2 linked regions of the Elephas maximus indicus genome follow. The protein of the gene in region 1 purifies or fractionates together with the protein of each later gene. This does not show direct contact. Links are inferred from orthologs where the notes say so. Each region holds a gene or a part of one and is shown in the gene's direction. Other genes may lie near its edges.

Evidence for each region.
Region 2: the proteins of AP1M1 (region 1) and ATG9A purify together in Homo sapiens (affinity purification with western blotting, with the first as the bait; 3 studies listed by BioGRID). This does not show direct contact. The link is inferred for Elephas maximus indicus from reciprocal best matches to the Homo sapiens genes AP1M1 and ATG9A.

Annotation. Positions count from the first base shown.
Region 1 is NC_064821.1:36,437,030-36,444,192, forward strand, and holds the start of AP1M1 (AP-1 complex subunit mu-1), read left to right. Parts: upstream 1-4,108; 5' UTR 4,109-4,208; coding exon 4,209-4,250; intron 4,251-7,163. Other genes in the region: protein FAM32A, read left to right, coding at 1,288-1,356. UniProt on the Homo sapiens protein: Subunit of clathrin-associated adaptor protein complex 1 that plays a role in protein sorting in the trans-Golgi network (TGN) and endosomes.
Region 2 is NC_064824.1:117,820,938-117,828,274, reverse strand, and holds the start of ATG9A (autophagy-related protein 9A), read left to right. Parts: upstream 1-4,203; 5' UTR 4,204-4,322; exon of another isoform or gene 4,323-4,395; intron 4,396-4,418; exon of another isoform or gene 4,419-5,334; 5' UTR 5,335-5,392; intron 5,393-5,794; 5' UTR 5,795-5,823; coding exon 5,824-5,926; intron 5,927-6,049; coding exon 6,050-6,093; intron 6,094-6,605; coding exon 6,606-6,670; intron 6,671-7,337. Other genes in the region: ANKZF1 (ankyrin repeat and zinc finger domain-containing protein 1), read right to left, coding at 417-572, 759-987, 1,272-1,419, 1,513-1,625, 2,034-2,227, 2,346-2,448, 2,648-2,760, 3,434-3,575. UniProt on the Homo sapiens protein: Phospholipid scramblase involved in autophagy by mediating autophagosomal membrane expansion. Cycles between the preautophagosomal structure/phagophore assembly site (PAS) and the cytoplasmic vesicle pool and supplies membrane for the growing autophagosome.

The DNA of each region.
Region 1 (7,163 bases):
GCAAGACACTGATGGAACAAGAGTAAGTGTTAACCTTTAATCAGGATCTTTTTTCTTTTTTTTTCTTCTATCTAAACTGTTTTAAGAACTGTTCCTTTAATTTTTTTTTTTACAGTGCTGTATACCTACACACACAGATTCTCTCTTCAGTACAGTATTGTATGTAGTTATTTTTATTATCGTATTATTATGTACTGTATTACGTTCATGATGTTTTAGTGTATTTGGAAGTATTTAAGGGTTTTATATGCATAGAAAGGTAAAATATATACTAAGACAAACATTTGACTGACACTAAATAAGAATCATATGTACCTGTTCTGACTTACCTGCAAATTCGACTTAAAGACAGAGTTAGGAATGGATCTCGTTCGTAGCCTGGGGACTACCTGTATTCACACACACACGCACGCACGCACGCACGCACACACACACACAGATTTATTTTGAAGAATTGGTTCATGAACCTTTGGGGGGCTGGCAAATGCAAAATCCATAGGTTAGGAGATAGACTGTAGACTCCTGCAGTATTCTGTCCCAAAATCAGTAAGTCAGGCGGCTGGGGAGAGGGGGATTCTGACAGAATATCTAGTCTAGAGGCAGAATTTTCCCTTGGGAAACCTGTGGTTTGCTCGTAAGGCCTTCAGCTGCTTGGATGAGGCTCACACACTTTATGAGGGTAATCTGCTTAAGACCAGCTGATAAAAACAATTATTAGCTGCTATTCAGTCAACGCCCAGCTCATGGCAATCCCATGCACAATGGAACCAAACACTGCCCGGTCCTGCGCCATCCCCATTTGTTATGGATTGGACCATTGTAATCCAAAGGGTTTTCACTGGCAAATTTTTGGAAGTAGATCACCAGGCCTTTTTTCCTAGTCCGTCTTAGTCTGGAAGCTCTGCTGAACATGCAAGTCTCCACGGACAGATGGGTGGTGGCTGCGCTTGAGGTGCATTGGCTAGGAATGGAACCCAGGTCTTCCACATGGAGAGCAAGAACTCTACCGCTGAACCACCACAGTAACAACTAGACTGGTGTTTGATGAAACAACTGGGCACCATCGCCTAGCCAAGTTGATGCAAAATTAACCACCACAGGGTCCTCCCAGGGTCATTCAAGGGAGAGCCCAGGGTTCGGGCATCTATAGGACCTGGCAAGTTGGGTTTGAGTGGAGAGTAGGAAAGGAGAGGCAGGACATGGAAGAGGTGGTGTGGGCAAGGCTTTGTGCCCTTCACACCCTGCATGGGTCAGTGCTGAGACGAGCTTTCTCCTTGACCTTCACAGGACTTCAACAGACACCTGGACACACTCACAGAACATTATGACATCCCCAAAGTCAGCTGGACCAAGTAGCCTCCTGGCCCCTGGGCATGGCGTGGCCTCATGGGGAAGCAGAAGACAGAGTTGGGGTTAAGTCGGGTCCCTTTGGCATTTTCTAGAAACATTCTTTTACCCATGCCTTTGCATTTTCTGCTGCAACCGTGCATTTTGAAACTGTCTCCTTGTTCTAGAACTTGATTAAAGTAAGACTGTCCTTTGACTCAATTTTGGTTTTTAGTGTGGGCTGGAAAGCTTTGGAAGTTTATCCAGAGGTTCAAGTCGTTGCTGTGTAAGTGCCATGTAAGAATATTTAGTTCTCTGAGTTGCATTTAAGCTTCTGAGGACAACCAAGCAGTTCTCTTCATCCAGATAAAACTGACTCCAGAGGATAAGGAGCTAATGCTGGTGTGGCCTGCAGTGTGCAGACCCCCTTATATGTAGGCTCCCCTTCTAAACTCCCATGAGCTTGGGGCTTAAGCTCTTCCATCCAGGATGCAGGGAAGCTACCCATGGCTTTGTGGTCTTCCAACCACCTCCACAGCCCTCTTGCCTGGGACGCAGAGGATGGCTGCCTATGGCAGGGATGAAGCATCCCACCTGGTCCCTTTCTGAGCCCATGACTGGCTTGCAGCCCCTCTCCCAGTTTCCCCATCCCAGACACTTCTAATGGGTGTCACCATGGCCCCTGTGGCAGACATTGCAAATCATTCACAGCCTTCTTTGTAATGGAGCCCAGATACCACCTGACTCCCCCCTCAGCCAGGGTTCCAAGTTGGCACATGACCAGGGCTGAACTCCAGCACAGACAGACATGTATGTGATCAAACAGAAGGACCCCATTACCGGCGGTGGAGAGCCAGGGTCTTTTGGGGGCCTGTGTTTATTGGATGAGGCTCAATCTGTATACTGGGGGAGACAGTCTCTGCTGACCCAGCTTCTGAAAGAGTAACAAAGCGAGAAGACAAAAATCAAGTGTGGGGCTTGAGGCTGTTACATGTGAACTGCAGAATAAAGCAACAACCAATTATTAAATGAGTCTGTGTGTCTTAGTTATAAGCTGTTTGGTTTCCACACGGGAGGCGGCCTCTTGAATTTATCGCACATGAAGGGTGTGCATGCCTGTCTTAGCTATCTAGTGCTGCTATAACAGAAATACCAGAAGTGGGTGGTTTTAACAATGAAATTTGTTCTCTTACAGTCTAGAAGGCTAGAAGTCCAAAATGAGGGTGCCAGTTCTAGGGGAAGGCTTTCTCTCTTTACCAGTTCTGGGGGAAGGCCCTTGTCATCAATCTTCCCCTGGTCTGGGAGCTTCCCTGCACTGGGAACCCTGGATACCAGTGCTGCTTTCTTGGTGTTATGAGTCATACCCCCGCCATCCCTTGCTTCTGTTATATCTCAAAAGAGATTGGCTTAAAACAGAACCTAATCTTGTAGATCAAGTCCTGCCTCAGTAACGTAACTGCCACTAATCCCATCTCATTAGCATCATAGAGACAGTATTTACAACACATAGGAAAATCACATCAGATGACAAAATGGTGAACAATCACACAATACTGGAAATCGTGGCCTACCCAAATTGATAGATGTGTTTTTGGGGGACACAATTCAATCCATGACAATACCTTAAAGGACTAAAAACAAAAGGTCCCTGAGTGGTGCAAATGGTTTGTGCTGGACCACTAAAGGTGGTTCAGAACCACCCAGTGGCGACCCAGAAGAAAGCCCAGCTATCTTCCACAGAGATTTTTTGTCAGGTGCCACTGAGGCATTGGCAACTCATAGTGACCCCATGTGATAGTGGAATGCTCCATATGGTTTTCTTGGCGATAGTCTTTATGGGGGTGGATGGCCAGGTCTTTCTGCCGAGCGGCTGCCTGGGTTTGAACTGCCGGCCTTTTGGTTAGCAGCTGGGTGTGTAACTGTATGTGCCACCAGCCAAGAAAACCCTGTGGAGCAGATAGGGTCATCATGAGTCGGAACTGATGGCAGCTTTTTTTTTTTTTTTTTTTAGACCAGGGATGGGAGGAGGGAAAAAAGGCGAAGTTATTTCTTAGGAAGCAGTGAGCTTTTGTTAAGAAACCAAAACCAAACCAAACGCACTGCTGTGGAGTCGATTCCGACTCAGCGACCCTATAGTTTCCAAGGAGCGCCTGGCGGATTTGAATTGCCGACCTCTTGGTTAGCAGCCATAGCACTTACCCACTAGGCCACCAGGGTTTCCCTTCTGTTACGAGTGATGGAAAAATTTAGAAACTGAGATGGCTGCACAACATGATGAACACAGCATCACTCGATTGTACATGTAAAAACTATTGAAATGGTAAATATTACATATTTTTACCACAATAAAACAGACTGTTCTTTTCATCTATGTTCAGTGAGGGCGTGGTTTTCACGAGATCATTCCAGGCAATAAGCAGAAAACCACGCTTTTCCACTGACGAACGTTAGTAATGACAGGTGACAGTGACCGCGGTAAGGCGTAACTGCCTTTCAGAGAGTTTCCTTGACCTTTTTCCAAGTAAATCGCCACCTCTCCCCTCCCAACGGAGCCTTCTAGACTCCCACATCAGACTGCGGCTCCGTAAAGCCTGGGCCCCAGGTGAGGCCCCCCTTTGACATCTTGCACCTAACTAGGCGCGGACTTCTGGATTCTGGAGGCGGGGTGGGAAACGTGGCTCGCACCGGGCTTCTGCGCCTGTGCACGCTCCGTTCTGCGCCTGCGCGATGCTGGCAACTCCGCCCAGGCCGGACATAACGGTCCGCGCGCGGCTCCCAGACCGGAAGTGGAGGCGGGCTGTCGCGGGGCGCCGGCCTTGATCAACGCCCGGCTGTTTCCGCAGCTGCTGTTGAGGCTGCCGCCGAGGCCTCCGGCAGCCGCCATGTCCGCTAGCGCCGTCTACGTGCTGGACCTGAAGGGCAAGGTACTCAGGGCTCCCCACCCGCATCGTTGCCGGGAAACCGGCGGGGGCCTCGCCCCTCGGGGACCCACCCCGTTGCTAGGTGACTGGCCAGTGGGCCCCACCAAGGTGTGAGGCCGGGAGGCTGCAGGGCCGCACCTGAGGACTCCACCCTATTACTGGAGAAGCAGGCGGGGTCTTCTGCCCGCGAGCCCCGCCCTGTTGCTAGGTAATGCAGTGGGCTGCCTTGTGGTTGGCAACCGCCAGGTAACCGGCTTCACCACCCTCCCCGCCTCTCAGCGAGGCTCGGGAACTCAGGCCTCCGTGGGGGCCCGGGAGGCCTCAGGGAGGGCAGGCCCAGCGCTGAGGGACCGCGCGACCCTTGGCCAGAAGTGGCGAGGCGTGGCGAGAACAGCATGCCCTGGGGTTCGTTCCGCTCTTGGAGTCGCAGCCGCTACAGTTCAGCGGGCACCTTTTCTGTCCCAGACCCGGTAGGCGTTGCTCAAGGAACGTTCATGGTGACACTGAGTCTGTACAAGAGTTAGGTGAAGTGGGCAGTGGAAGCGCCAATGTGCAGAGGGGGAAACCGAGGCACAGAGGCTGAAGCACCCACCCAAGGTCACACGGGTCGCAGAGAAATGGCAGGTGGAGGCCTCGATCCCAGGAGGCAAACCCAGAATCACCTATTGGCTCAGCTAATTTTTGTAGGACTGGTACTGAGCGCTAGACCAGGCTGCTGTTCTGGTTTCTCCACTCCAAATTACGATGACTCAATGAGTGCAAAGCAGAACTGTGCTCCACAGGGTTTTCTAGGCTGTGACCTTTTGAAGTAGATAGCCAGGCCTTTCTTCCAAGGTGCTTCAGGATGGACTCAGTACCAATCTTTCAGTTAGCAGCCAAACTTGTAAAGCATTTGCACCATCCAGGGATTCCAGAATGTTACAGGTTGTTAGTTGCCAGTCAATTCTGACGCATGGCCACCTCATGTGTGCAGAGTAGAGCTGTTCTGCATAGGATTTTCAAGGCTGTAACTTTTCAGAAGCACATTGCCAGGCCTGTCTTCCGAGGCACTGCCGGGTGGTTTTAAACCACCGACCTTTCAGCTAGCAGTCTAGTGTAACCGTTTGCACTACTCAGGGACTAGCGCCAAGCAGGGGGAGCAGTCCCTGTCCCGTGGGGCCCACAGTTTGGTAGGGGAGTTGGGCAGTAACCTCAAAAAACACAAACCAATATGCACTGCAGTGGAAGAGCGATGACCATGTATAGTAGGGAGGTCCCACCTCAACTCAGGGATCAAGGAGGCCCCCCAAAAAAGTGGCAAGTGCACTGAGGTGGGAGGGAGTGTTGGACATGCCTGGATCAGGAGCTTATGCTGGTTCCAAAAACCAGGTGCCTTTCCAGGAGAGTCTGACCAAAAAACCAAAACCAAACTCGTTGCCGTCAAGTCCATTCTGACTCACAGCGTTCCCATGTGTTACAAAGAACTGAGCTCCACAGGGTTTTCTTGGCTATTATCTATATGGACGATCACTAGGACTTTCTTCTGCCACACTGTGGGGTGGGTTTGAACTGCCAATCTTTAGGTTCGCAGCCAAGCACAAACTGCTTGAGTCACTCAGGGACCTTAGGGGTGTCTGAGAGAGCTGCTTAAAGGAGTGGTCATGAAAGCCTTTCAGAGGTGGGCTGCTGTCCTCCCCCAAGCCCACCCAGTGGTGGAGAGGCAATGGCCATCTGACCTCTTACATCTGGGAGTGACAAAAACAGATACAACAATGTCAGACAAGTCTGATGTTGATCATTGAGAGGGACGTGGATGTCAGGTCCTGGGGGAGGGAAGGGAAGTTAGCACAGAAGCAGACAGGAGCCAAGAGGTGACCTGACTGCCTCTCCCTCCACCCCCAACACCTTTCCCATGAGTGGATGGCCTGAGGCTCCCCTCCTTGGATGCCACCCAGAGTCAACAGCTTTTGGCTCCCTTGTTTGGCTTCCTTGCCCAGCCTTCTCAGAGGCAGGGAAGACGGGCACCCCAGGACTGGAGGAGCAGTGTACCCTGAGGCTTTGTGCTTGTGTTCTGCTTCCGCCCTGGCCCGTCTCACTGGCTCATGGCTTTAGCAAATGTTATGTGAGCACCTAGCACGTGTTGAGCACTGTGCCAGGCACAGGGGGCCCCTTTGGCCCTGGGGCCTGGGCGAGCTCAGCACCCTTCCCTGCAGCACAGTGTGTGGCCTTGGCAGGCACCTCCCCTTGGGCCTCACTTTCCTCATTGATCAAGTGAGTCCGTTTCGGGGATGTTGTGGGGACTTGCTGAGCGATATGCGAGGCTCAGCCCCATGCCCAGCCTACTGTCCACAGCCCTCAGTCCAGCTGGGAGACACGCCAGGCAGCAGATACATTACCGGATGGTCAAATCCTGCAGCCACAAGGGCAGGGACAAGCCCTGAGGGGCCACAGTTGCTCAACCTCACTTCGGCTGCAGGAAGGGAGGTGGTTACAGAAGGCTCCCGGAGGAGGTCTGGGTTTGGGAAGGTGACCAGGTGGCAGTCAGGTTAACAGGGAGGCAGTCCAGTGGGTGCACGGGGGTCAGGGGCAGCCACTGGGGCTGGAGAGCCAGTCATCCCTCATAATGCTGGTGCATGGAGGGCAGCACCAAGGGGACTGTGGGTGTTGAGATGTACAGATGGAAGAGGGGACAGAAGGACACAGGGAGGAGGAGCCACCACAGGGAAATTGTGGCTGGGAGAAGCATGACCAGTCTTGCCTTTCGGAAGCTCATTTTCAGCAACCAAGACGACATTTATTCTTCCCCTCACCGTGGACTTCATGCCTGGAAAGCTCACCTCTTGAGCAGATGGTGTTTAAGCAACACTAAGTGAATAACACCTGAAGCAATTCATGACCACGCGTCTCTGCTACTCAGAGCCTCCAACCACTGGGAGA
Region 2 (7,337 bases), on another chromosome or scaffold:
CAATAAAGGAAAGGCTGGGAGCAGTTACAGCCATGCAGGCCAAGGATCTGCAGCCAGGAAAGCAGCTCAGCCCAAAACCACAGCATGGAGTAAGACAAACAAATACAACAGATTCATGCAACGTGAATACTCAAGCATCTATTTTGTGTCAAGATTGTTCTAAGTCCTGGGGATACATCAGTGAACAAAAGAGGTAAGATATGGGAAAGACAATCACTGAGCATGTCTCAGTAATTGTTATGACATATCCCATTTTATAAGCAGACACTGGTATGGTTGTAAATACGTATGTTGGGGTAGAAGGGCCCATCTGTAAATAGGGACATGGGTAAGTTATCTGGGTAGCAAATCTACCACTGCGTTTCCAGGATAGACACCCATATAGGGATTTGACAGTTGCCAAATGTTGCTCAAACCCTGTTTGGGAGACTGTGCATTCTGCCCAAGTTCCTCATTTTCATCACTGGGGACCTTTCTTCTTTCTTCTTCGATAGCCTCCTTCCTCTCCACTTTCATTGTCTTCCAGTGTGTTTGAGGTGAGTCTGATCTGACTGCCTCCCGGGGGTCTTCTCCTGCCACAAACAAAAGATCACTCTCAAGTGTAGCTGAGAAGCCAGCCCAGGCTTCTCAGCGAAGATGTGGTTGCGCTGCGGTTCAGGACCTGGAAAATCTTTGGATGCACACGTGAGAACCTGAGGCTGGGAGTACAGCAAGGTCTAAGGAACCTAGGGATCTGGGGATCTGTATCAAAGGCTCACCATGGACATGCAAAGTAGTCAGCTTATGGAGCACACGCTGTAGCTCTCGGAAGGTGGGTCTGCGGGTGGTGAGGGGGATATCCCAAAGTCGGGGGTCCCCCCATTGCAGGGGTGCCCCACGGCCTCCAAAGAACAAGGATCGGCCAGAGCGGGGGGCACGCAGCAGAATGGTCCCAGCCTCCACCAGCGCCTCAGCCCAGCCTGGCCCTGCCAACAGGTCACGAACCTCCTAGAGGAGAGAGAGTAACTCAGCCCTGCACATCTCTACGTGCTATTTTAAAATTTCCAACCCAAAAACCCACAGATCATAGAGGTAGGAGATAACACAAAGTGAGAAAGAATGAGTACTAAAGACCCTGGGGATTCCTTTTCTACCTTTGTTTACCCAGAAATGATGAAGATTGGAAAGATATGGAAGTAAAACACCTCTCCACTACAACACTTAATGAGTTAAATTGAAAAGAGAAAAAAGTGTGGATCAGAAGACTGCCAGATCTGGGAGGCCTAACTCACCTTACATAGTGTGGCTTCATTATAGCGCCTCAAGCTGGCTCCAGCAGAGTGAGAAGCCCCACCCCGGGCATCCTGAAGCCCCTGGGCTGTGCCCCGCTTGGCCCGTACAGTGTAGCGGTGAAAAGTTTTGTGTGCCACCACTTCTCTTCTGTAGACAGCACAGATTCAGTACTAGAGACCAGCTGATGCTCCCAGGCTAACAGGATCCATTCCATCCTCACCCTATGTAGCACCCTCTCACCCTTGGAAAATGGCACCAGCAAAGTGCCCAGCTGCAGCCATGAGCACCACACAGAATCTGGGACCTCCACTTCGCAGGTTCTGTAGCAGAAGTCCTGCCTCTTCTGGGGGCACCTGGTTGAAAGAGGAGAAGCACAAACATTCTACCTGTTGCATTCACGGAAAGCAAGAAACCAATACCGAAAAGACTCCCAAATGCCAGCGCTATCTCATTTAATACAGTCACCCTGAGGATTGTCTCCATTTTACAAATAAGAAAATTTGAGGCTTGTAGTGGTAGCCAAGAACAAGTGGTAGAACCGCAACTGAAACCTAGACCAGTCTGTTCCCAAACTTAATTCCACTACTGTTAATCCTTCCCAGATTCAGGTCAGCTTAACCCAAGACTATGGCTGTCAAGTGTGATGCCTATACCAAGACAGGAAGAAAGGGAAGAAGTGAGAAACAGACTGGGCTAAGGGGAAATCTAGAGAGATCATACAAAAGGCCAGGGTTGACCATACAACCTGTGCTGTCACTTGCCTGGCGAGGGCCTAGGATACAACGGTAGGCAGAGAGGAACTGGCCCTGGGCGTTTCGGAAAAGAACCTGATGCGGGTGGAAGCCTCGTGGTTGGTTAGGCTTCTCAAATTCAGCCCTTTCCTCATCTACTATCTGCAAATCCTCCTCACTGGCTGAGTCTGAGTCTTCTGATCCTGAGATGCTGGAAAGATCTCCTGTGGACAACATGATACACAAGTTTGATACCCCAACTTTGACCTTTCCCTAAACTCCTGAACTAGCCTTTCTCTACCCCATGTCATACTCCCATTCAGGTTTCCCACCAGTTGTCACCTGTGGAGCTCTGCTTTTCGAAGTCCAAGGCAGAGAGGTGGGGCTTGTCCTTAAGACGTTGCTTTAAGTTAAACCGATGCCAGTCAAGCTTATAATGTTCTCTCTGGTAGGAAGAAAAGAGGGAGGCAGAAGATGAAAATGTGGTAGCCAAGAGTAGGAATGGAGTTCCAGAAAGTATGACGAGTAACAAACTTACTGAGTTCCTTAGTCAAAGCATAGACCTTCTTTAAGACAACTGTACCTCTCCCCACCCACCATTATACCTATACTTCCAACATCTAGCCCTCACTCTAGCCCTTTACCTGCTCCTGGTGGTTCTGCAAGGTGTGGTCACAGGTTAAACAATGTAACTTCTCCGAAATATCTGGAGGACCCTGGAGTAGTTTTCTTTTTGGGCTCGCTCTCTCACCTGAACCTAAATATGGGAAGGATAACTGGAGGTAGAAAAGGAGTCCAAATCCATGGTACAAAGCAGAGGAGGTTACAAAAGAAGATGGCATGTCCTTATCTTCAAAGAATTTACAATTAAGTAATATGAAAGAAATGGAACGGTAATCACCTTATATAATGTTATATGCTTCTGAAAAAAAAATATATAAAATGAATACAAACCAAACATTGCACTTAAGTGAACCAGAGGAGTAGTTTAGAGAAATCCTGCAGAAAATAACTTTTTGTATGATTAGAATTCTTTTTAACTGCAAAAACCACTCCCCAAATGTCGGTTTTTTTAGCTTACATTTTCAATTACAGTGTGTAGTTTATTTAAAGAGAGGCGCAAGAAAACACAAACAGAAACGAACCAAAATTATATAAAACTAAATATATAAATATTTTTGGAAGGCATTGGTGTTAATGAGAAAAGATATAAGTAAAGGCAAGAGACTTGTCTGGAGACAATTCAGGGGCCTGTGCTGGAAACCACCCCGAGATTAACTGAAGGGATCAATTTTATCCAGCAGAAAGGGAAACCAAAGTGGGCTCCTGAGCTGGGGAATACCAATAAAGACAAGCTCCATGGAGAAGCAATGTACTCCAAATAGTCCTGTCATGTTCCTTGTGGGTCCACCCCAAACCTTCCCGGATACCTGGACAGTGCAGGGCCTGGGCCAGAGCCTCCCTGGGAACGTGGCTCACCAGACTCAGGCCCTGAAAGATCAGGGCATCCGCGTTGAGGTCAAACAGGGAGACCGACGCAGGAGCCGGGGCTGCAGCTGAAGTGGGCGACATGCCTCAGCAGGAATTACTTAGAAACGGCTCCTGGAGCAGAAAGGGGAAAGGAACCGAACTCCCTAAAGCGAGATCCTACTGCCCGCGTCTCCGGACTCACTGACTCGGTCACCTCTAAGCCGTGAAGTATATCGGCCTTCACCTCGGTACTCCGGAGTCAGATCCGGGGTAAATACGTGACCCGGGTCGCTTATTCAAACCCCCAACCTCAGACCACGCGAGAGTGAAATGGGGGAGCAGCCAGCTACTAAATCGAGTCTAGCAGTTAAAATCACTGATGTTCCCTAATGGACCGCTCCTCGTTACCCGAACGACGAGCTCCGGTATCTACTGAACTGCATAGACTCGCTGCCGCCGGTACCAGCTGCACCAAATATCCCCGGGAGCCGAGCGGCACGCACGTCTACAACTCGAGGCCTGCACTTCTGTAACACGACAGTCCCGTCGCTACGGAGCGGCGAAGGGGACAAACAACATCTCCCGTACCTCGGCCCCGCCGCTCGTAGAGCACAGTATTGGTTCCCTGACTGTGCCAGATCCGCCTCGAGCCTTTAGTCCCGTCCTCAGAGCCGAGAATTGGCCGTCGTGCTTCCACCCCGTATGCTCATTGGCCAGGCTGGCTGCGGGTGACGGTGACTGGCAGACGCCGGGCCTAGCGCTCAGGGTCCGGCCGAGCCGAGCCGAGCCGAGCCGAGCGAGCCCCTGAAATCACCCGGGTCACCGTTCCTGAGGTGAAACACTAGACCGGTAACTGAAATCCCAGGACCTGGACCGGGGCGAGCCAGGGATGCCCACGGAGCCCTAAGAGAGCTCGCGGCGGGTAACGGGGGAAGGGGCGTCGCGGGCGGGGCGGGGACGCGCAGTCAGAATGTTTTGATGGCGGGGGCGCGCCCTGGCGGCGGGGCCGCGCGAGAGGTTGTCCGCTGTTGGGAGCTGAGCCCTTGTTCAGGGGCCAGGCGACCCTGGGGCTCAGGTCGTGGCGGCTGGATGTGGGAAGGCACCTCTACCCACCCGGGCTATCGGCTGTAGGCCCGGCTGGATTCCTTCAACATCCGCAGGAACCCCTGAGCCCAGGCCTAGCCGAGGCTCCACGGGCCCAGAGTCCACCCAGACCCGGTGAGTGGTGATTTCTCTGAGGGCTTGATCATCTCCTCTGGACTCAGAGCTCTCCCTAATCCAGAGTCCCACTGGGGCCAGACTGGGCCAAGACTCGTCGCCCCCGGGGTCTGTACTAACTGGGTGAGTGCCACTGAGATCATGTCTGGCGCCAGAGAACCTACAAATTCATACGGGATCTGGGGTCTCCATTGATCCAGTGAGAAAGTTCCCCTCAAGAGCCATGCCTGTCTGCTGAATCTTTGGTGCTAGGGAAGCAGGGAAAGGTTGACTAGAAAGAGCCTCAGAAAAGACTTTTCTTGGGTTTTGGGCTTGGGGCTTTCTGGACCCTGAGATGCTTGCCTTATTTCTGAAGCTGAGGTGGGACAATGAGGAAATAGTCCAGAGGGGCCACTGGACTTCAGGCCCACGCTGACCCAGGCTCCACAGGTCAGTAAGTCACTTCCTGGTACCCTGAGTTGAATGGACCATACAGCCAGAGAAACTGTTGATACTCCTAGGCTGAAACAGCACTTCTTCCCCACTGCAGCCTCCCTGCCCCATGCTTGACCTCCTCTTAATGGGAGGTGGGAGTGAGTGGGAGAGTTCAGTGCCTTTCTGTCCCCACTTCCCACTCTCTGGGGCCTGACATCTTCTCCTCCAGCAGCTGCAGAGCCAGGGCACCGACGGCTGGAGTGGAGCAGACACTGTCCATGGAGCTGGTAGGGTCATGTGCTTATTTCAAACCTTTGTTTTCTAAGTGCTTCCAAACTGCTTGTCTCTTGGGAGACCAGGGTCTCCCTAGGAGGGGAGCGGGAGGGCCCCTTCTCTCCACTGAATAGAAGGCAAAACAGTCCCTCAAAGGGCAGAGTCTGGCTTCAGGCCAGCAAGGCAGAAACTGAAACTCAGTAAAAGCTCTGGGAATGACTGACCAGTTAAGGTCTCCCAAGCCCTGAGCTCACTGCCTTCCTTGGGTTACTCCTTCTCCCCTGCCTTTGGCCCAAGGAGCCTAGTAGTGGAGACAAAGCCCAAGGATTCCTTCTCATTCCTGGCCTAGTAGGCAGGCCAGCAGGCAGACAGCCTCTGGGCCTGAACCAGGGTCTCGTCTTCCTCATCACTGGCAGGTGGATAAGGTGGACAGGGGGCGGCGGTGATGGCGCAGTTTGACACTGAATACCAACGCCTAGAGGCCTCCTACAGCGATTCACCTCCAGGGGAGGAAGACCTGTTGGTGCATGTCCCTGAGGGGAGCAAGTGTGAGTTCTTGGACATGACATCCAGAGCTGGGACATGGGGACTGGGGTGTGGGGGGGGACACTGAGGGAGCAAGGGGCTGATGTTCCTTCAGGGCTCTGACATCCTTGCCCTTGTGTCCACAGCACCTTGGCACCACATTGAAAACCTTGACCTCTTCTTCTCTCGAATATCCTTTGTGACTGTATTGGGACTTTAGAATCTTGAGCCTCTCTCTAGGCCAGGTCTCTGATGAGAAGTTGGGGTGAGTTTGTTTCTAATCCCTGGAACGGGGATGAGAGGCTGGGGAAACAATGATCCTTAAAAATAATGATGCCCCACAATTTCTGAGAGCTATGTACCTTGTACTTTGTGGTGTTAATTTATAAGTAACTTCTCTAAGGGAGATTCTCCTTTTTGATGAGTTCCTAATAATCCTAATAATTCATGTCTTTTGGACTCATTCTATGTCAGCTATGTGTTAAGTATCTTGCCTGTATTGTTTTAGATCTAATAATTCTAAAAGATAGGCCTTGTTATTCCCCGTATACCACTGTGGAAAAAAGCTTAGAGGTTAAGTAACTTGGCCGGAGTCATAAAGCTAGAAAGTCAGAGAGGTAGGACTTAAGCTCAGGTGTGTGACACCAAAGTCTGTGTGCTTAATTGCTGCCTCTACCAACTACTTTTTCTTAACGATTACACGTTTATAATCTACATCAGAAGAATGGCTTCACTTGTATGCTCATCGGGGAGATCTTTGAGCTCATGTAAGTATACAAAAGGGATAGATGAGGTAGTAAAGGAGTATATCTCAGTCTTTCTTTTTCTTATACTCTCTCCTGGCCCTAGGTGCCAATGAAACTCAGTCCCAGGATCAAAACTCTATAGACCTTTATAGTTCAGGGACTGAATGTGGCACCAAAACGTACAGCCTCACCTTACTTACCTCCCCTATAAAGAAAGCTTTCCAAGTCCTACCTCTTCCATGACCAAAAAAAAAAAAAAACCCAAACCCGTTACTGTCGAGTTGAGTCTAGTCTGACTCATAGCAACCCTATAGGACAGAGTAGAAATCCCCTATAGTGTTTCCAAGGAGCACCTGGTGTATTCGAACTGCCAGCTTTTTGGTTAGCAGCCATACCACTTAACCACTGTGCCACCAGGGTTTCCCCTCTTCCATAAAGAGAGCTCAAATTTTGATCAGTCATCAGAGCTCCAGTGGAATGGGCATGGTCCAATCAGAAGGTCTCAGAGATGCCAGCCACTTAATTGAGAAAAATGCCTCTGTTCTGCCTGGGTTGCATCTTAGGTCTGCTGCTAGGCAGCAAGTCTTCTAAGAGGAAGGAGCCATGTGCCACTGCCAAAGAGGCAGGGGCTGGGAAGCTCTCCCTCAATAAGAAAGAGTGCAAATCCCTAAAGGATTTCTAACTTCAA